3 linked regions of the Tamandua tetradactyla genome follow. The protein of the gene in region 2 interacts with the protein of the main gene of each other region in a biochemical or structural test. Links are inferred from orthologs where the notes say so. Each region holds a gene or a part of one and is shown on either strand. Other genes may lie near its edges. The genes, in order: vitamin D-binding protein-like, ACTA1 and GSN.

Evidence for each region.
Region 1: the proteins of ACTA1 (region 2) and vitamin D-binding protein-like are reported together in a solved structure, tested with the Homo sapiens proteins (2 studies listed by BioGRID and IntAct). The link is inferred for Tamandua tetradactyla from reciprocal best matches to the Homo sapiens genes ACTA1 and GC.
Region 3: the proteins of ACTA1 (region 2) and GSN are reported together in a solved structure, tested with the Homo sapiens proteins (3 studies listed by BioGRID and IntAct). The link is inferred for Tamandua tetradactyla from reciprocal best matches to the Homo sapiens genes ACTA1 and GSN.

The regions. Positions count from the first base shown.
Region 1 is NC_135345.1:72,853,908-72,861,730, forward strand, and holds the start of vitamin D-binding protein-like, read right to left. Parts: upstream 3,092-7,823; 5' UTR 2,965-3,091; coding exon 2,907-2,964; intron 1-2,906. UniProt on the Homo sapiens protein: Involved in vitamin D transport and storage, scavenging of extracellular G-actin, enhancement of the chemotactic activity of C5 alpha for neutrophils in inflammation and macrophage activation.
Region 2 is NC_135328.1:153,789,672-153,796,924, forward strand, and holds the start of ACTA1 (actin, alpha skeletal muscle), read right to left. Parts: upstream 3,062-7,253; 5' UTR 2,929-3,061; intron 2,041-2,928; 5' UTR 2,029-2,040; coding exon 1,900-2,028; intron 1,809-1,899; coding exon 1,484-1,808; intron 1,117-1,483; coding exon 955-1,116; intron 843-954; coding exon 651-842; intron 547-650; coding exon 365-546; intron 249-364; coding exon 105-248; 3' UTR 1-104. UniProt on the Homo sapiens protein: Actins are highly conserved proteins that are involved in various types of cell motility and are ubiquitously expressed in all eukaryotic cells.
Region 3 is NC_135328.1:36,066,497-36,073,585, forward strand, and holds the start of GSN (gelsolin), read right to left. Parts: upstream 3,106-7,089; 5' UTR 3,091-3,105; coding exon 2,947-3,090; intron 2,865-2,946; exon of another isoform or gene 2,850-2,864; coding exon of another isoform or gene 2,826-2,849; intron 1,509-2,825; coding exon 1,304-1,508; intron 596-1,303; coding exon 441-595; intron 1-440. UniProt on the Homo sapiens protein: Calcium-regulated, actin-modulating protein that binds to the plus (or barbed) ends of actin monomers or filaments, preventing monomer exchange (end-blocking or capping).

The sequences.
Region 1 (7,823 bases), on a different chromosome or scaffold from region 2:
TGGACCAGGCCCAGCTTGTTCCTAGTCAGGACTTTTGCACCTGAGTTCCTTCACCTTGAAACATATGTCTAGGTCTTTTCAGAGCTATCTCCTTTTTATCACATTGATCTCAAATCCTGTATAAATTCCTAATTTTGTAATATGTAAGTTTAGCTGACAGGATACGGAGATGTCTTTATCTGGGAAAATAGAGAGAGTATCTATCCTTGATTATTTCACTCTGGCATTCTGTACAGCTATACTCCTGGATCAAACTTAGGACAATTTTGTTGTTAAATTATTACTGATAAAGAGGCCACTTGTAAAACAGAAACAGAGTGATTCAGTGGTGGTTTAGGGGATTGGAATAACCTCATTGTCTAGGGCTGTTTTAACAAGAAAGTGGGAGACAGAAAAATATAGCTCACCCACCCACTCAAAGGCGACTTTCTTTCTTCTTGCTGTTTGTTATCAAGTCCAGTAAATATATACGTATGCTGGAAACGAAAAGCTTAAAGCTGAAAGGTAAATGTTCACAAAATAATATTGTTCTTATCAAGAGTCCTGACAAACTGTAATGGTTTATTTTCTGTTGGCATTTTTTTTGGTAATTGCGCAGCTGTCTTAGTAATCTGTGCTGCTTTAGGGGTGGGGAGCTGGAAGAGGGAAAGACATGATTTAGTAGATTAGTGTTACATCCATTTCAGCCACAGAGAAAGAAGCCAAATGCAGGAAACTGCGCTTTTTTTCAAGATGAGTCTTAAAAATATATACTTTGAAATACACTTTTGGAAAAGTGTTCTAGAAAAAAACGGTTGATGGTCAGCTCTTTAGAACTGTAACTTTCTATCGTAGAAAGTACTATAACCCTAATCAATTTTCCACTATCCAAGGCTCCCCTGAACATAATTCCTGAACTTCTCTAATACATGTATTTCATAGCTTTCAGGTGGCTGCTCTGTGGCAAAGTAAAAGAATATGAGCATTGCTGCCAGGAGAGAACACACTTATCTTCCAGTTAATTGCTGACTTGGTCAGATGGAGCTTCATTGCTCTTTGGGACATGGTCAGGTGTTACAGAATAGAAGACCAGTGTCTCAGGTATTGGATACTTATTAATTACAAATTATTTTATATGTCTCAGGGGATATATGACCTATACATCTGGGTAATCTGACTGAAGTTCATTGTGAAATTCAGAATTTCAAAGAAGCAGAACTGAATTTCTTAGCATCCATTTCACCAGGGTCTGAGGAACTGCTGAAAGATATCCAAATTGAAGTTGTAGAATATTTTGTTAATTTTCAAAAGACACTGTAATTTCTTGAGGTGAGGCTAATGCACACTTACTGAGTCAGCAGTGTAAAATGATGAATCATGTTCCAGGTTATGGCCTCCACGTTTAATTCCAAGGACTAGCCATTTTTGGAATTTCTGTATTTAAAAATCCTGATCTCAAAGTGTTTCAGTAAGATTTTTCGGATTCAGATATGCCCCAGGGAAACCTTGGACAAAAACTGAGCTTTCCAGGTTTCTCAGGACTTATTCATACCTCACTATATCTCAGAAATTCATACCTCACTATATCTCAGAAATTCCTCATAGTCTTACTTAAGGATTTGTAGATGAGGAAAAGAAAATTTAAAATCATTTGAATGGCCAAAATAAGAACAAGAAAAAGTGATTACAAAAAAGAATTGGAAAAAATGAGGAGTAAGGTTGTTCAGGACCTATTAATGAGAAATAATTCTTGGGATACATAATATTTATTCCATTGGTTAAACACATTACTGGTATGAATACTCAGTATGACTTGGGTGAGACACTCAGCATCAAATGAAAATTTTAATTTTACAAAGCATGATGAATGCAGATTCCCTTACAAACATTAAAAGATAAAACAGAATGGAAAATCCAAAGCTACAAAATTTAAAAGTTGTGTACTTTACATAATTTCCATACATATCACTTTAAAAAGCTTTTAAACATTGTCCAAAGATGAAGCCAACATTTGAAGAATAATTTCAATGAAAAACAATTATCTTATTTTTTGTTGTGTTTCTTAGTTATAGAAAATTCTAATTTATTTGGAAGTGTTTTAGAAACTGTAATGCTTTTTTCAAGGACTGCATGTATAAGATTCTTCAAAGAGGATAAAAAAATAGAGCTTTAGTTCACTTCATGCATCATCGACACAGTTATTATACTTTTAATGGCAATAAATATTTGAAAAATGCTCAGTATTGGATCACAGTCTCCCTTTGTATTATCTTTTTTTTTTTTTTTTTTTTTTTTTTTTTTTTTTTTAAAGGAAAGACAGAGAGAAGGAAGGAAGGATAGAAGGAAGGAAGAGAGGAAGAAAGGGAAACATCTTTTAAACATTTTCTTGTTTTTTATTGTATTTTGTTTCTCCGTTTTCGTTACATGGGCTGGGGCCGGGAATCGAACCGAGGTCCTTCGGCATAGCAGGCAAGCACTTTGCCCGCTGAGCCACCGCGGCCCGCCCTGTATTATCTTTTAACATTTAAAAATTGAAAATTGGTCAGGGCGGGCCATGGTGGCTCAGCAGCCAGAGACCTGGGTTGGATTCCCAGTGCCTGCCCATGGAAAAAAAAAAAAAAGATTGTTCAAACTTTAACCCATTCTTTTTCAGTGCTTGTTTACCAAATAAAGGAGAAGGGATAATTAACAAACTTTATACTTCCTTTTTCTCTTTCATGAGATTCTTATCCTGATTTTCTTTTCTCTTCCAATTCAATGCCATATGGCACAGCTTAACTCAGATCAAGCCCTCTATAATCCTTCTCTCTCTCCTCAGCATATTCACCAATTCTTCTGTCTGTCAGCTTTTACGTAATTTTTTTATGTTAACACAATATTGGACTAAGAAAAGCTCTGATAACTGATCATGATACTGGAGGTCTTACCTCTCTCTATAGCATGCCCAAAGCCTACAGCAAGCAGGAGAACCAGAAGCCCCTTCATTTTCCTGCTGGTGAGTCCTGAAGCACTGCCTGACTCCTGTGGGGTTACCGTGTGAAAGACAGCAGCAAAGAGCAATTAGTTTTCTCTTACTAGGATTCCCAACTCTGAGCTAATCAATTATTAATCTTTACACAGAAGCAAGGGGCAGTCATCCTTGGCCCACAAGAGATAAAATAATATCATCAATCAAGGCAAACAGACACCCTGGGTATAATGTAATGGAAAATTCAGCAGATTTTAATCATTAACTTTGTTGTACTCTGAAAGAACCAGAACATACATAGATTATTTTCCACAGCTTCTTTTGACTGAAATTTTTTAAAGTAATAGTAAGTGGTACATTTGTTCCTCTTTATAGGGTTATGTGTCTTCTATGGGCATTCCCTGCCCTTCTCATGTATAAATAGAAAATTGGAGGTTATCTCTTTCTCTTTCTTTCTCTTTGTCTTTCTCTTTCTCTCTGTCTCTTTCACTTTGTTTAAACTTTCTACAAATAAGTGTTATTTTATTTAAAACCAGATGTTTTAAGCAATAAGGGGAAAAAAGATGAGTGAGAAGTCAATTCAACATAATTCCTCAAATCTGTAATATTAATGTTACAAAACAATTTTACTGGCGATAATAGGAAAACATTTTATATTTATATTCCACATTATACTTTTTGAAGCACTAACATATGTATTGCCTAACATAACCCTTGAAGTAAGGCAAATAGTAACTGGAGAAAATAAATAACTTTCCCTGAATCACAAAAGTTAGTGGCAAATCTTGGACTCCTAGTACCTAGTCTAAACCTGTTTTTACTGGTACTATACAACCAGTGTGTTTTAGGATAATATAACTTAAAAGCTCATGGTGTCCTTGCAGGACTTGGAATCTAACGTCTGTACTTTACAGAAGAGGAAACTGAGCCCCAAGTAAAGTCTCTGACTTGCCTAGAGAGACACAGGTAATCATCATTCATCAGAATCAGGTCAGCTGCTTTCTTGTCCAGCTCTCTTTTCAGGAAGCAGGGTCAAGTAAGGGTTAGGTATACAGGGACTAGAATCAGGCCTACCTAAGTGCAAATCCCTGTTCAGCTCTTACTGGTTGTGGAATCTTGGGAAATTTATTTTACCTCTCTAAGCCTCACTTTACACATATGCAAAGTGATGATAACTTTTAATGCCTGTATCACAGACACAGATTGTTGTGAATTTAATTGAGATAATCCATGCACAGAGCTAACTGTACATCTAAGTCAGGGTGACTTCACTGATGTTACCTATTATTTTTCTAGTTGTTGCCATTTCTCCGCACTTATTCTCCAAATTTATAATGGTATCTGAGGAGCTCATTGGAACTACTGAGGCCTGCAAAGCAATGAAAGATTCAAAAGCCAGCCCTGTGTCCTAGGTTTAGAACCATCAGAGATCAGTGATCTAGAATTCCACTATTAATTCAGGAGCCAAAGAGTAACTGCATAAGAAGTTTCCATTAAAATCTTAAACAGCCTTAAGCAGTTACATTTTCAGAGATCCTCCATTTATATTGAAAATACTTGGGATGTTAGGTTCAAAAAGTACAATCAAGTTTGTAGAAAAATGATAGCTAAATAGATCAAAGCAAAGCTATCTCCATGAGGCCTATAGAAATCCATATGGTAAAAGAGATTAGAAGTTCCTATAAGCATTGCTATAGGCAATATGAGAAGACAGGTTTCCTGTTCAAAGATCTATTATACCTCCTTAGTGCTTACTGAAAATCTTCTTAACTTTTTTTTCCCTTGATCCTAACTCTTACTTGATTTTGCAAGTTAATTTTTAAAAATGTGTTTTATGCTTACAGCAAATTATTTGGAAACGAAGCTCTAAATGAGTGCAAAAAAGTTTCTAAAAGTATTAAGAATGCCAGAATGCAGAAAGAAGAACTAATATGTTAGTATATTTCTATAGCTTCCATTTTTATTTAAGATAATTTGGTTTATATACTTTTGTATCTTTTTAAAATTTAGCATTATTGTATTGTCATTTTCTGATGATCAGTTCATTCAAAGATACACTTGGATCGTTTCCCATGATTTTTGCTATAGTTTGACCAGGCTGTTATGTAATTTTTTAAAAAATTATAACTTTATCTCTGCTTTTGCAATAACATCTTTCACTTTTGTTTAATGATAAACTACATGTGGCAAGAATTGCAACATCTCATTCAGGTGTTCTCTTGAGAAATCTCTACAAAAACTCCCAAATCTATTCTCTTGGCTGAGTTTCATTTTAAGTGAAAATTGGCACTAACATGCTAGTAGCTAAATAGATTAATCTTTTCTCAGTCTTATTTATGTAACTCCCTGTAAGCTTTCAAATGTTGATTGCTTATGGCAATTTTAAAACTAAGAAGAAATAATCATCAGTGGCCTAGATGAGAAGCATCTTGTGCCATATGATTCCCACAGTAAGTCAGATGGGGAAAAAAATGGATGAAAAACATCAACTTCTAATAGCCTCTGTTATAGCAGCAGCTACAGCAATTCAGAAATTTATTCCAGAAATAGTTTTAAAAAGAGATAACCATTGAAGATTTAACTATGCCGTGGAATTGAATAGGAGCTGTTTTGCCCATAAAGAACTGAATTTGAAATAGTCTCTCTCTTTTTTTTCCATCTCAACATAGGTTTCAGAGGAATTATAACCCTAAACAAGGTTAGTTCTAGGCAAAATTGTGAAGCAGAAATCCATCTTTAGCTCTCTCCCCAATCATATTTTTCTAATTTTGGTATCTCTCAGTTTTCACCCTCCTTACCAAACCAATATCTTTAACATTTTCATTGTGCTACAGGATGGTTAAACACAGTACTCCAACAGAAATGATTTTTTTAAATGATTTCATTTGTCAGATTATTTTCTTCATCCAGATTCTCTTTATGATTACACTTTATTCTCTATTTTCCACTGACTGAGGAAATTGAGGTTAGTAACTTGTGTAATATCCTTAGAGTTGACATGAAGAGAGGAGCTGAGGACAATCCAAATTTCAGGGTATTTGTGTAGCCCAGCCATTTTCTATTCTTGACATCATAAGAAATTTCAATATTCTTAAAATAAATATCCCTTTTTGCTTAAGTTTATTTAAGTTGAATTTCTGTCTCTTGCAATTAAAAGCATCCTAACTAACATGGCTTTAGATCATTTTACCCTCTGTTGCCATCATTAGTTATCTGAGATACAAGTATAATTCATTATATTGTGCTTCACAAATTCTGCATCTTTTATAAATTAAAAGTTTGTGGCAACTCTGTGACAAGCAAGTTTACTGGTGCTATTTTTCCAACAGCACATGCTCACTTTGTGTCTCTGTGTCACATTTTGGGAATTCTTGCAGTATTTCAGACTTCTTCAATATTGTTATCTCTGTGATGGTAATTTGTGATTCGTGATCTTTAATATTACTATAGCAATTGTTTTGTGGTCCCATGACATGATCTTATAAGACAACAAACTTAATCCATAAATGTGTATCTTCTGACTGCTCCTCTGACTGGCCATTCCTCCAATCTCTTTACCTCTCCTCAGGCTCCCTATTCCTTGAGACACAACAGTATTGAAATTAGGCTAGTTAATAATCCTATAATGGCTTTTAAATATTCAAGTAAAAAAAAAGAGTCATATATCTCTCATTTTAAATAAAAAACTAGAAATGATTAAGTGTAATGTTTTAGTTTCCTATGCTTTACCATAAAATAGGTTGGCTAAAGCAGTGGAAATTTATTTGTTTATGGTTAGAGTCCAAGAAAATGTCCAAATCAAGGCATCATCAAGGTGACAATTTCTTCCCCAAAACAGGCTACCAGCAATTCTTGACTCCTCTAGCACATGGCAAGCCACATGGTGGCATCTGTTGATCTCTTCCTTCTTCTCTGGATTTCATTGCTTTCAGGTTCATGTGTCCATGGCTTTCTCTTTCACTCTATATTCATTATGTTTATAAAAGGACTCTAGTAATAGGATCAAGACCTATCTTAAATGAGTTGAGTCACACCTTATCTAAAATAGTCTTGTTAAATGGTCCTACCTATAATGCACACTCACAAAAATGGATTAAATTTAAGAACACATTTTTCTGCAGTACCTACAGCTTCAAACCACCACATTTAGTGAAGAAGTCATGTTAAAAGCTGAGATAGGCCTCTTGTACCATGTAGCCAAATTTTGAAGGCAAGGGAAAAGGTTTTGAAGGAAATCAAAATAGCTACTCCGGTGAATACATAAATGATAAGAAAGTGAAATAGACTGCTGATATGGAGAAAGTTTTAATGGTCTGGGTAGAAGATCAAACCAGTCACAACTTCCCTTAAACCAAAATCTTGTCCAGAACAAAGCCCTAATTCTCTTCAAATCTAGGAAGAATGAGAGAGATAAGGAAGCTGCAGAAGAAAAGTTGGAAGTTAGCAGATGTCTAGTTCATGACGTTTAAGGAAAAAAAGCTGTCTCCATAGCATAAAAGTACAAGGTGAAGAAACAAAGCTGATGTAGAAGCTGCAGCAAGTAATCCAGAACATGTAGCTTAGATAATTGCCAAAGGTGTCTACACTAAACAACAGATTTTCAATGTAGACAAAAGAGCCTTCTGCTGGAAGAAGATACCATCCATGGTTTTCAAGGCTAAAGACAAGTCAACTGGTTCAAAGCTTCATAGTACAGTTTGACTTTCTTATTAGAGGTTAATGCAGCTGGTCACTTTAAGTTGAAGCCAGTGCTCACTTACCATTAGGAGAATCCTAGGGCCTTTAAGAATCATGCTAAATCTACTCTGCCTGTGCTCTATAAATGGAACAACAAAACCTGAATGACAGCACATCTGTTTGCAACATACTTTACTGA
Region 2 (7,253 bases):
CGAGAGAAAGATGTTTGGCTGTAGCTCGAGTTCAGCCACCTGAAACTTTTAACAGACTTGTCATCCTGAGGAGAATTAGCACACGGGAGATGTGCGTGTTGTGTTTAGAAGCATTTGCGGTGGACGATGGAGGGGCCGGCCTCGTCGTACTCCTGCTTGGTGATCCACATCTGCTGGAAGGTGGACAGGGAGGCCAGGATGGAGCCGCCGATCCAGACCGAGTACTTGCGCTCTGGGGGGGCAATGATCTGAAAGACAAGGGCGTGTGCGGTGAGCCGAGGAAGCACGCAGCCGGCGGGGGGCGGGCGCAGGGGGCCTGCTGGGGAGAACTGCGTGGTTTGGAAGCCTCGCGCCCGCCGCGCACCTTGATCTTCATGGTGCTGGGAGCCAGAGCTGTGATCTCCTTCTGCATGCGGTCGGCGATACCCGGGTACATGGTGGTGCCACCGGACATGACATTGTTGGCGTAAAGGTCCTTCCTGATGTCGATATCGCACTTCATGATGCTGTTGTAAGTGGTCTCATGGATGCCGGCGGACTCCATGCCTGGGGGCGGCGGGAGGAAAAGCGTGAGGAAGAGCACCGCGCCGAGAGGGCGGGAGCGGAGAGGACCCGGCCCGGGCTGGCCCGGGCCGGCAGGGGGCCCTCACCGATGAAGGAAGGCTGGAAGAGCGTCTCCGGGCAGCGGAAACGCTCGTTGCCGATGGTGATGACCTGCCCGTCGGGCAGCTCGTAGCTCTTCTCCAGGGAGGAGGAAGAGGCGGCTGTAGCCATCTCGTTCTCGAAATCCAGGGCCACGTAGCACAGCTTCTCCTTGATGTCGCGCACGATCTCGCGTTCAGCTGCGGGGGGCAGGGGCGGGGGCAGGAGGTGACCCCTTGGCGGAGGGTCGCCGCGTCTTCACACACACACGGGTCCTCCCCACCCCTCGAAGGTGCCCCGGGCGCCGCGTACCTGTGGTCACGAAGGAATAGCCACGCTCGGTGAGGATTTTCATCAGGTAGTCCGTGAGGTCGCGCCCGGCCAGGTCCAAGCGCATGATGGCGTGAGGCAGGGCGTAGCCCTCATAGATGGGCACGTTGTGGGTGACACCGTCGCCGGAGTCGAGCACGATGCCTGTGCGCAGTGGGAGGGAAGTGGAGTAAGGAGCAGGAAGTGAGACCCGAATCCCGCGCGGGGGATGGGCTGGGGGTGGGTGGGTGGGGTTGAGGTTTGGGCAGGGAGGGGGGCCTTTGGTGTCTCGGGGCTGGGGGAGCCTCTAGGTGCCCCTACACCCGGCTCTGGGGCCCCTCCGACCGGAGCACGCACGCCCTGGGTGCTTTAGACTGGGGGTGGAAAGGAAGGGGCGGGTGCAGAGGTCTCCACTTGGCCGGTGCGTGGGCTGCGGGCAGCGCAGCTGTATTTGGATGAGGGGGTGGGTGGGAGGGGAGGCACGGGGCGTGGGGAGGAGCCCCCACCCCACCACCAGCCGGCGCGCACTCACCGGTGGTACGGCCGGAAGCGTAGAGCGACAGCACGGCCTGGATGGCCACGTACATGGCCGGCACGTTGAAGGTCTCAAACATGATCTGAGTCATCTTCTCGCGGTTGGCCTTGGGGTTGAGGGGGGCCTCGGTGAGCAGGGTGGGGTGCTCCTCGGGAGCCACTCGGAGCTCATTGTAGAAGGTGTGGTGCCAGATCTTCTCCATGTCGTCCCAGTTGGTGATGATGCCGTGCTCGATGGGGTACTTCAGGGTCAGGATACCTCGCTTGCTCTGAGCCTCGTCGCCCACGTAGGAGTCTTTCTGACCCATACCCACCATGACGCCCTGCGGAACCGAGAACCCACCGACCGGTTAAGGCTGCTCACCCGGCTGCGGCGGCGCCGGGCTGCGCTGGGACCAGGGTGGGGAGCCTGACCTGGTGACGCGGGCGGCCCACGATGGATGGGAACACGGCCCTAGGGGCGTCGTCGCCGGCGAAGCCGGCTTTCACCAGACCGGAGCCATTGTCGCACACGAGGGCGGTGGTCTCGTCTTCGTCGCACATGGTGACTGGTTTCTGCAAGGACAGGGAGATCTTTGGGACGCACGGCACGTCGGCTTAGTATTTGGTGGCGCGGAGGTGAGACTCGGCCCGGCCAGAGCACCCTCCCTTCCCCCGGATCCCAGGGACACCACTCAGCCCCGAACTGCGCGCATCCCGCCCCGGAAGAGGCCAAAAGGGCCCCCACCGGATTTTCGCCCTCGGGGGGCTCAGGGCTGCGTTTTGCCAGGGTATTGGCCCAGGTGTGTCGAGACCACACCGAGAATTCCTCCATCCCGGGCACCCAGGTGGGAAATTGTGTCCTGAGACCTCCCCGTCTTCCCAAGAAACAGCCGGCTCCAAGAGCAAGTTGCTAGCCGCCCAACCTCCCCTTGCCTCAGTTGCCTCATCTGTCAAGCAAAAGATTTAAGGCTGCCTGTTAGATGAATGTGAGGAAGAGTGGAGAGGACCATGTAAAGGCGCTTTGGCCCTTTGTCCAGGGAGGGATGGCCTGTTATGGGCATCCACGATATTCCAGACTCAGGAAGGGATCCTTTCCACTCTGTGGGCAAACCCAGAGCAGAGCTACCCTGTTGCCCTTGGCTGTGGCACTTGGTTGGGAGAGACATGCCCTGGGGACGACTAAGGTAGAACCTTTTATCTCTAGCTCGGCACAGCCTAAAAGCCAGGTACAGCGGCCCAAAGAGGCTGACCATAAATTTGGAGGGGTTCCAAAGGCCATTTGATTATCTAATTGACTTTTCTTTAAAGCGCGTGTGGCTCTAGGGAGGAGGTGCAGCCTGCAGGGCAGGCGCAGGCCTCGGACTCAGGTGAGCCGGCAGTCTTCCGCCCGGGAATCACCGCGCTCTCCTGGGTGGCAGCCCGTCCCCGCCCCCTGCGGCTCCCTCCCCACCCCCGCCCTACCTGGGCGGGTGGCTACAACTGCTGCTCTCCGGCTCGGGCCCTGGGAGGAAGCGAGGCTTCTCTCGCGCTGTCCGCTGCGGTGGCCGGGCTGGGCCTGCTCAGGTTTTATATAGCCCGCGGGCACTCCCCCCGCGCCGCCCGCCGGGCCTGCCCGCAGGAATGTCGCTCCCCTTCTCGAGCCATATTTGGGTGTTGGGCACGAAAGCCCCCTCCCCCAGCCCGGTTCGCGGCCTGGGTCCCCGCCCGGGTCCCCGGCGCTGACCAAAGAAGGAGCGGCCTGGCCCAGGCCCAGGTAACGCGGGCCGGGCCGTATATGGAGTGTCTCCCTGGCGGGTCTGCCCCTCCCGACCCGGCTGAGTTGCCCGCTGGAGGGGATGGGGTGGAGTGAGGGTCACCCAGTGCGCCCGCGGGTGCCTGTGTGAGTCTGCGCCTCCCGGAGTTGCACCTGTCCGAAAGGCCTCCCCACTCCTGTCCACTCTGGTCCTATCAGGCGCCCCGGAGGTGGACTGACTACCTGCCTCCCACATTTCACCCTTTCTTCTGCTCCTTTATTCAGATCCCCAAAGCCTCATATGCTGACACCGAGAGGAGGGCGCGGTGTCGAAAAGGTGGGGCTGGGAGGACAGGAGACTGGAAAATGCCTCTCCAGCACCTGTGTACTCCATTTCTCCCTTCATCCACCCACCCCCCCACACCGGTCTCCCCAAATCCAGAGGACAGATTCGAGTCGCCCCCCTCCCCTATGGCGGAGCGGGACAGCAGCGCCCGGAGGCGTGCAGCTGTTGCTGGACGGACAACTGGCGGCGGGGAGGCGAGGGCGGAGCTGCGTGTAGGCGGCGCCGGGGCTCCCGGGGACAGGCCCAGTCGGGTGATTCTGGCAGTCGCCGGGGGCGCAAAATCCGGAGCTGTCCGCCTCGCTAAGGGGCAGAACACTAGCGTAGTCCCAAGGGGGGTGAATTCGGGAGGGTGGGGTGTGCCCTTCCTCCAGCACTGACCGACCCCAGTCTGAGGGTGGGTTCAACTGCGGGCCACCTTCCACCCTCTGCTTGGCAACTCTCTTGGGGCTGAAAGACAAGAGTCACAACCCACGATCCGCCAGGTCTGGAAGTGGTAAAGATAGGTGGTGAGGTGTTCTTACTAACTCTAAACTCTAACTTTGAATTCTTGGATAGTACTTTTTCCCCCCTTCTGCAAAGGCTGAACAAATTCAGCTTTATATTTAGAGGATGATACCTTGGCTGAGGCCAGGCTGCTCTCCAGTCCACTTTGGAGAGTCACCATATACTGGAGACTGCTGAAGTGGGTTCTATTTATACCACTGACAAATGGGGATATGCTTTTTAAATTTTCTAGAAGGATATGGGTCTACTTATGGTAAGGTGTGTGGAGGTCAGAGCAGGTTGTCCAGTTGGTGTCTGTCTCACATGTTTCGTCCTTCCCTCACTGGAACAAGGACAGTTCTAACCTTGCTATAGAAGGCACAGGAGAAACAATTTTCTATGATGAACTCAGTGACATGCTTTAAGGGGGTACATCAGTGATCTGGTGCCAGCCAAAATGGAATCATTCATTTTTCTGATGTGCTTAAGTGTTCCCAAAATAGTTGCATTTCACATTTGGTGGTGGAACTCAGCAACTGGGACAGGTGTGGATTCTCTTAAGAGGGATATAAAAGCATATGTAAACCTCCTCTGTAACCCACACCACAATAGCTCTTCCTAAAAATGATCAAAATTAATTTTAAAAAAAAAAGGAGCTTGGTTAGAATTGGTCAATGTAGTAAATATAGTCAGTGGTTAGAAGCTCCTGTAGTTTCATATTTAACTTTTCCAATTATTGTGGAGTTAGTGAATAATTGGTAGAAACACATTTCATTTTTCATGCCTTGTGTCTTACTGTGTCAGTGGGTAGTGGAAACACCAGTAAAAATAACCTGGCAAATGCACTGTATGTACTATTTGGGGTAATAGCTTTCATTTTGGTCTTTAAGGTAGGAAGAAATGTGCTCTGACTCACCAGATACTAAGGATTTGTTGATGTTTTAAAGAAGGATAGGTTGTCAATAGTTTTCAAAACTCTTCATCAGTACAACTCTGACCTCCCCTGTAAGCAAGATTTTCTAAGCTCAGGGTATATTAGACACAAATATACAATAAGAACCAACTATGAATAAAACATTCACAAGCTAATGGACATCTGCTAGTACAGCAAACCTTGGGGAGATGGACTCTGATAATGCCAATTCAGACGATTGCTGTCTGCCCCAACATTACCGATGCTGGCTTAAGTAGTCTCTAATGGAGCACCACAAGGCCGCTCTCAATTCCATTCTGGTCTTGTTGAATTCTCATTGGCTTAGGGAACAGAGCTATTGAGTATGTGGAAAAGCTGCATCTCCATACATGTACACTTTTGGGGAACACACCAGTGCTCTGCTCTTGTCTGAGTAAGCTGGTTACTGCCTGCATACCCTTTTGAGAACTATCACCAACTAAAGGTCAGCCATGTAGAGTATGCTTGACAGAGAGCTTGTGCTTCTAAATTTTCAGGTGCAGCCTCAGCTCTTGATAATCTGACAGGGTGCTTGTGCTATAGCTAAGCTGGTATAGTCACACCTCCCTTCCCTTCAACATTCTCCCTCAATTCCTTATCTATCTGTACTCCAATGTTGCTCGGTCTAAGCCTTCTCTTGTAGTGTTTACCAATTTAAATATAAATTTACAAAAGTTTATAGTATGCTTTCATGTTACTTTAATCAATCCTTTTAACTATCTTAAGGTAAATAAAGTAGACACTATTCATTCCAGTTTTAAAAATAAGAAAACTGAGGCAAAATGAGTTAAATAACTCATGCCCAAGGATCCTACAGCCAGTAAGTGGATGAGCCAGAGCTTGAACCGAAGACTTGTGATGGTAGCTCAGCCCTTCCACTAGGAGTGGTCAGGGGAGGGCAGGGGCAGTTTTCTGTCTTATTTCACTCTTCCATACTACTTGGGACAGAGTTTTGGAGCCCTAACATTCTCAAGGGATCTTTTCCAATGAAGAGCCAGAAGCCATCTTGAAATGAAAAGTCATAGTTTCACCAGCAACTATAATCTATCATCTCAAAAAGAACAGTGAGGAGGGCTGACTGTCTCAACTACACGAAACATCCTAGGTATCAGGTAGATAAAGGAAAAAAACAAACTCATTCTCGACAAAAGTATACATCTAAAAATTTAGGTAACTCATGGCAGTCAGAAAGGGAGGACTGGAATTTCCTACTTTTACCCTTCACCTGAAGCTGATGGTTTTCTTCACTTTAGCCTTTGCTCTGACTTTGGCCAGCTCTAAAGGCCTGATGGTTCAAATGGAAGAGTCTTGCCCCCTACCCTCACCCCCATCCAACCATCTTTACACACAGTATAATGTATTGGTTAAAGGCTTGGACTTTGGAGTCAAGCAGACCTGGGTTACCTCCCCTTCTCGCTAATCAGGTGGCCTTGCGCATTTGACCTCAACATTCACACCTGAGGATGCCATCTCCTCCAAAGGACTGATTGGAGGATTAAAACTTGGTGAGTGCCTGTGACATGAGAAACCTGCAATAAACAGTAGCCTTTCTTCCAATGACTAAGCATTGGAAGAGGTGCAAGGGGTGAAGTGTTAGAAGAGGTGAGCAAAGGATATTAAAAGTTATTAGAATGGTACATAATTGTCATCACAAAGGTACATAACTGTCATCACAAAACTAAACAAGGAGAAGCAATGAAATTTTACAGGTATTTGTAGAGCATAATGATTTTTGTAGAACAATCTGCTTATTCTAGCATTCGTTAAAATGGCAAACAAGAACACCACCACAACCCAAGTAAGAGATGGAAAGAGACTGAGAGTTATTAGATAAATTCTGGTACAGACAAATGGTAGTGTCACAGAGTCACTAAAATATCATATCTTAAAGATCCCTTTAAGACATTCATTCTTAAAGGAGGTGATATTGCCTCCAACAGCAAAACTTGCCTCTTAGGGGGTGGAAAGAATCATAGATGTTACAATGGTTTGTGGCCCTCCAAAGGATATGGTACATGACTACAGTGTAAAAATTTCACTGAAGTAGTGGATTAGGAAAAAACTCTAAAAAGGCTCTTTAGGGGGATTTAAAAAAGGTTGAGAAACACTGAATTAAGGATACACAAAAATATTATCTCTCACATGAAAAAAAAGGAAGTTACAATATGAAATGTATGTATAGTCCAAAATGTTTTACATTGTATTCCAAAATGTTAACTGAAGTTATTTTTCTCATTGGTAGGATTACAAGGGTTTATTTTCTTCCACATTTT
Region 3 (7,089 bases), about 120 Mb from region 2:
TGACGCCAGACTCTTAAGAGTTCAAGTTAAAGGGGATTCTAGTAAACAGAAGACAGATGTAATTCAGGGTGTACTTTCAAAGATCCAACACAGGGCCCTCAGCTAGCAGGGCCCTAACCTCAGGTTAGGAGCAGAACTGGGCTCAAAGCTCTTGGACCGGCAGGCCCTGGAGCTGGGAAAACAACCCTATGAAGTTATGGGAATTTTCTTCTCCCCATTTTAAGATAAGGAACCCAAGAGAAGAACCCAAGAGAGAAAGTATGATTTGTCCAAGGTCACACAGCTAGCCCTGGGCCAGGATTCAGACCCAGGACTGGACAGCTCTGGAGCCTGGGGTCTGACCCATCTGCAATCAAAGCCCAAAGACTAGCTGGTGACTAGCAGACATTCACCATCGGTGTCCCTGTCTCTGGCACCATGCAAGGGAGGGCCCAACCCACCTTGTACTTGAGGCCAGACTTGAAGTAACCGAGGAAGGTGGCCGACTCGAAGCCCTGGACCTCACGGTGCTGTATGGCGCGGCCATTCAGGTAGTCATCCAGCTGCACAGTGAAGATGGCGGCCGCCCCACTCTCATCCTGGCTGCACTCATTGCCTAGGGGGTGTTGGAACAGTATGACCCTGGCTTCCTGTAAGTGGTCCCAAACCCCCCGGGGGAGGGGAGAGTTCAGAACCCTAACACTGTCCTGGCCTGGCTGCTGAAGCTAGGAAAGCCCCTGCCTTCTGTGAGTTTGAGTTAATCCACCTGTGTAGTAGGGGAGATCTCTGTCTCTTCCCAGCTCTGAGGCTTTCCCTATACTCAACTCTCATACCAGACTCTTGATGCTCTACAGCATGAAGTTAGGACTGGGTGCATGAGTACGTTTCACAGATGAGCAAACTGAAACACTATGTGGGGGAATTACCTAACAGAGCAGCAGTAGGGACTCCAGGCTCCAGGTTCTGAAGGACTCTAGGCCAGGGAAGTAGCGGAAGGGGTCCAGGGTCTTGGAGTCACCCAAATTTCTGAGTGACAGAGAATTTCACTTAACCCTAACAACACTCCTATTAGGTAGGTGCAGTGCTATCATCATGCCCAGTTTAGAGACACTGAGTGGCTCACCAAAGGGCAGAGGGTGGGTAAGGGACAGAGCTGGGCTTTGAGCTCAAACAGGCTGGTTCTAGAGACTGGGTGTGTAACCCCAAGGTCTGGCACATACTTGGTACTCAGTAATCAGTTAGCTTCCTTGGGTTCTTCTCAGAGACCATACCTCAAGGTCTGTGCTTTACAGAGTAGGGGGAATGGGGCAGGGGAGGGTCTCACCCAGCCAGTAGTGGAGGTCGTACTGCAGATTCCCATTCCTCAGCTGCACTGTGTTCAGGACGACATAGGCATCACCTGTGAAGAAGTCTCCATAAAGGTTGCGGGGCACGGGCACCAGGTCAAACTTCTCCACTCGCCAGATCTGCAGGCCAGGCTCCTTGCCCGCCTTGAGGAACTCAGGGTGTTCCACCACCATGCTGCTGGGCTGAAGAAGAGACAAGGCAGAGCCTGAGCAGGAGCCAGGACAGTGCTCAGCAGACCCCGGGGCATGAGGGAGGGTGGTTTCCAGCACCAAGAGCTTCTCACTTGAGCCTCTGTCACTCCCCACCTCCCCTTCTAAGTCCACCTGTCTCGATGAGTTAGCAAGTAGGGTGGAGGGTTTGCTCCAAACCCTGTGCTTTGGCCAGTGTCTGTCTCCCCCAGCTCAGCTCCTGGTCCTTTCCACTGTGATGGGGGGACAGATGACTCCCCCTTTTCCCCCTCCCTTCTTATTGCCAGTTGGATGTGAAGGGACAGAGAGGTGAAGTGACTCTGTTAGGGACCCCCACCTAGGAGATGTCACAGAAGGAACTGTCCCAGGCTCCAAGAGCATGGGCTCTGGGACCATGGGGAGACCCCTCAGATGGCAACGGTAAATCTGGGGCCCCCAGGGGCTCTGTCTGCTCCCCTCCAGGATCCTCAGTGGCTCTTAGAACTGGAAGGGGCCCTCCGAGAGCTCACAATCCAATCCTGCCCCCCCACAGGTGGGGTAACTGAGGCCCAGTGAGGGTTGGGGACTGACCCAAGGTCACACAGCCTGTTTGCTTTTGCTTTGGGAGGGGAAGAGTTCCCATGACCCATCCATCCCCCTATAGACTGAGATAGCTGAGCCCAAGTGGCCTCCGCGCTGTCTGCCTCCTCCCTCCTGCCCCCCACAACCCACCCCCCAATTCCATTCCTTGGAAAAGGCGGAGAGGACGCAGCGGGGTCTGCAGGAGCCTGTTGGAGGGGGAAAGGCTGCCGGACATGCACAGGGCAAGAGAATGGGGACAGGAGGGTTAGGCTGTAGCCGGAGGCTAGAAGTCTACAGGCACAGGTCAGCTAGGACTGGAGGAGAGAGCTGGTGGGGGGAAACATCAAAGGAGAGATGCCAGAGAAACCAGAAATCAGACGGGACAGAGGAGAAATGAGAGAGAGAAGAGAATAAATAATAGTAATAATGATAGATAGAGGTGATGCCCTATAAGAAAGAGGAAGGGAATTTTGGAGAGGGAGAGAGAAATGAGAGGAGAAGGAGGAATCTGAGGAGGAAGAAGAAATCAGAAGAGGAAAGGAGAAAATCAGGAAAGAGGAAAAATGATGAAGACGGGAGGAGAAATTAGAAAAGGAAGCGAAGAAATCAGGCAGCGAAGAGAGAGGAGAAATCAGAGAGGGAGAGGGAAACGAAATCCGGCCAAGGTGAAGTTAGCCTGTAGGGAGCGAAACAGCCAGGGTCCACGAGGCTCCCACCCCCCTCCGCGGCGAAGCAGCAGGCAATACTTACAAAGCAACAAAACAGTTTTTCCATTCTAGACCTGAATTACTCCCCTTTTCCTAGCGCTGTATCTGCAAGAACTTACAACAGAGAGTTACTCCGGGAGCCCCCGGGCCCCCCGGGCACTCACCCGCGCCTGGGGCACCGGCCCCTGGGGCGCCCGCCCCTGAGACGCCCTGCGCGGCGCGGTGGCCCCACGGACCGGCGGTGACAGCGCGCACAGCGCCAGGACCAGCGCGCCGAGCAGCGCCGGCGCGGAGCAGCGCGGAGCCATAGCGGCGACGGCTGCAGAGGACCGAGTCGGCAGCCGCGGCCTCGGGGTCACCAGCCTTAAGTAGCCGCCCGCCCAGCCCGCCCAGCCCGCCCAAGCCGAGGACCGCCCCGCAGGGAGGTGCGGGGCAGGGCTAGGCTCCCGGGAGCCCGGGAGGGGCGGGGATCTGACCCGGATCTCAGAGACTTCGGGGTTCCCACCCGGACAGATCCAGCTAGCCGGGTGCGGCCGCCCTGCACATGGGCCCACACCGGGTCTGGTATACAGCGGTCGCTAACTCAGTGATCGCTGAATGGGTGCTAGTGCGAATGGAAGGGAGCGCAGCCTCGTTCTACTGTGTGACAAGCCCGCTCCCGTCTCCAGAAAATGGGATGATCTAACAACACTGGAAAGCTTTCCACTAACACATCATAACTGCCCGAACAGAGGGGATAACTGTCAGCCCCATTTTGCAGCTGAGGGAACAGCAGCAAGGAGGCTGAATAAGGAAATTGCAGCAACTGGTAAATGGTACAGACAGGATTTGAACCCAGACACTGTGACTGGGTGGAACCCCACCTGGGCAGCATGCACTGCTACCAGCTAGGATGAAACAAGTGAAAAAAGCAAGACTCAGAAACCAGAAGCCAACCCTCAGCTTCTGGGTTTGCTGGTTCTTTCTACTTTACTGAAGATGCCCTATCTTTCCCTCCTTCAAAAAAAAAAAAATTTATTGTTATCGAAACTTAAAGTCACATATTTGTACAAAGTTGTGCCCCATTTACCTCTGGCTAGAGACAAACACTTCTCCCTCCTTTAGCTAATGATTCGGTATTTACCTTTATGTCTCCAAATGATAAGTTCACTTGCTTAGAGGTTTTCTTAGATGCTACCTATTAACTACCCTTGGGGGTCAGAAAGTGTTGTGGGTTAGCAGTCCTATGCCCTCACCTAGGCCCACTTCCCACCTTCACCAGGCCCTCTCTTCTCCCTTCCCCTACTCTGCCACCCAAATTCTGATAGCTAAGTTCTTTGCATCTTAGACTCTCCCCACATCCCCAAGCAGCCTGGTGCAGTGACAGGAAAGGGAACTGGGGAGTCAGAGACCTGGGTATGGTTCTCACCTCCACCTCTCTTTGGCTGTGTGACAATGCCTAAATTAGTTCCTCTTTTTATGCCTCAGTCTTCTCATCTACTAAATGGGTCTAGTCAGTGCTAAGGATTAAAATGAGTCTGTGTGTGAAAATGGTCTGGCCTACACCTAGATAAATGGGAATTCCCCTCCCCGTCTCCCACAAGCTCCTCACCCATCCCAGCTCCTCCTCGAGTCCAGCTTCCATTAAATCAGGCTGAAATTTGTCCCTCACTGCCCACTACATCCTTCCACTTAAGGGGGAATGTGGGTCAGATAAAAGCCCCATAGTTCTATGACTTTTTTTATCTGTGGGTCAGATAAAAATCAGAGAGAGAAGACAATTCACACTGCAGGGAAAAAGGAAGGCTTCACTGAATAAACGACTGTTGACCTGGACCCTGAAGGACAGGGAGATTTCTGACATATGGAGATTGAGAAGAAAAGGCATTCAAGGGGAGGGAACAGTAGGGGCAAAGAGCAAGCAAATGCAGGCCACAGTCAGTCAATGAGTGGTCCCACCTGAAACAGGCGAAGCCAGAGAAGATGAGGCTGGAGGGGAAGGGGGCAGGGGTCCCAGGACCTTTACTGCCACACCCAAGCATCTGACCTTTAGCCTGGTGTCTGTGGGGGGGGCCACAGAGAGAAACCTCAGTTCTCCAGGGCTCAGCATCCTGGTATGCCAGCCTGGTCCTGCAGAGGCTGCAGTGGGCCAGCTCTGGCCTAAATTTAGAGAGCTCCTCTCTCCCCCCAGCCACTTGGAGGATTATAAAAATCCCACAGCTCTCATATGCTCTTGGTAGAAGCATAAACTGCATAGTAATTTGACTCTACCCACCCAAATGTAAACCACAATGCAACAACAGTTCCACTTCCTACAGAATGACTTACTGACAAACAAAAAGATATATAAACAAGGATGCTCACTGAAGCATTGTTTGAAGAAAACTGGAAAGGACCCAAGTGTCCTGGTTAAATAAATAATGAAGCTGTCGTACAATGGACCACTATGCCGCTGTGAAGAACGAATGGGTTAGATCTGATTGTGCCTGGCACATAGTAGGCACTCAACAAACACAGAAAGATCTGTAAGTGCAAAATGCAAATTGTACAATAATGTTTATGATATGACTCCTCCTCTTTTTTATAAAAAATGTCAAGGAAGGGTCAACACCAAACTGTTAAGGAAGGTTGCTTAAAAGTGATAAAGGGAGAGAATTTCACCCTTTAAACATTGCTGTGTTTGCCTAAGGTTTGGGGTAAACAGTGTGGGAAACTTGCAGGATGATGAAAATATTCTAACACTGAATTATGGTGATGACTGCACAACTGATTAAATCTACTAAAAGTCATAGAACTATATGCTTATAATGGGCAAAATTTCATGCTAAGTAAATTATACCTCAATTTTTTACACCCGTAGTAAGTATGTAGCCAGTGTGCGCTTTTTGAAATAATAAAGCACTATATGGAAACAAAACATTTGAAAAATATACGTTAAGTAATGCCTTTATGAGACCATCTTACACGTCCATGCAAGTAGGAAGAAGAAACTTCCTTGTCATCCCAATCCACAGAGTGAACCTGAGCCAGCAGCTGGCCCAGCTGAGCAGCCCCTTCTTGGGCAGTGTGGCCCCAGCCTGCCAGTTGGTGATTAACAGAGGGCTGCTGTGGCTTGGCCTTGGCCCCAGGGCCCCAGGGTCACTGACCCCGGAGGCAGGGTCACCAACCCCCAAGTTAATGATCATAAAGGCCCTGCAGCTTGGCCTGCACAGAGTTCTGGAGCCTGGGCCCTCAGCATCAGAGAACAGGGGAACAGGTCCCGGTCCCTGCCTCTGGGAGCCACAGCCTGGAGATCTCTGCTTACAGGGCAGCAGAGATGCTATGCTATGGAGGCTATGGTGGGGGAAATGTGATCTTACTTTGCTTCCTGCCTGGAAGAGGATTAAGAGGTTGGGGAGGGGGGATGGGGATCAGAGTATAAGAGAAAGGCCGCTACATGGAAAGGAAGGGACCCCAGTGCTAGGTCAGGCTCTGTCACTGACTCCCTATGTGGCTTTGGGCAATTCATAACCCTTTTCTGGGTCCCTGGGTCTCATGTACAACAGACTGTATGGGCCTCCATGCTGTGACTCTGTAAGTCACATTCCTAGCCCCAGTTCTCTGAGTATTAACTGTGCAACTGTAGTCAATACCTGCATGTTTCTGAGCCTTAGGGTTCTCATCTATGAAATGGGGGTGGCAGACCAAGTCACCTCTACAGACCCTTCCAAATCAGAAAGTTCAGGGCCTCAGACCTGCTGAAAGAAGCACAGGTTGTAACAAGCTCCCTCACCTCTGGGCCCAGCCATCTCTGGGAGAACACGGGAAAGAAAGGAGAGGGAGATTCAATACCAAAGCCAGTGCCTTTCATATTTTCCTCCCAGCATTAGTGCTCCCATTTAACAGACAGGAAAACTGAGGTTCAGGATCACTCAGCTGGAAAGAGGCATTGCTGAGATGCAAGCCTGATTGGTTCCAGAGCCCAGGCTTGGTCTGGGAAGATCAATAGGAGATAGGAGGAAGCAGGGGCTCCTGGAACCATCCAGCCTGGGTAGGGAACAGCAGCGCCATTTCCAGGTAAAGGGTTGCAGTTGCTAAACCAGTCAAGCTCAAGACAAGCCTGGTGGCCAGGATCTCTGAGTGGCCATCCCCACCCAACCTCCCAGCCCGGAGCAGGAGCCTGTACCAGCAAAACCCTCTAGCCCTCTGCTAACAGAAGTACCCGAGATATAGGTATGTCCTAGGAAGATCCCCAGGCTGTGGCCTCTGGGTGGAGGATGGACCGTGGCTCTGTATCACTCCTGGGTACTTAGGTCTGGACTTGGGAAGCAACCCGGCTCTGCTTCCAG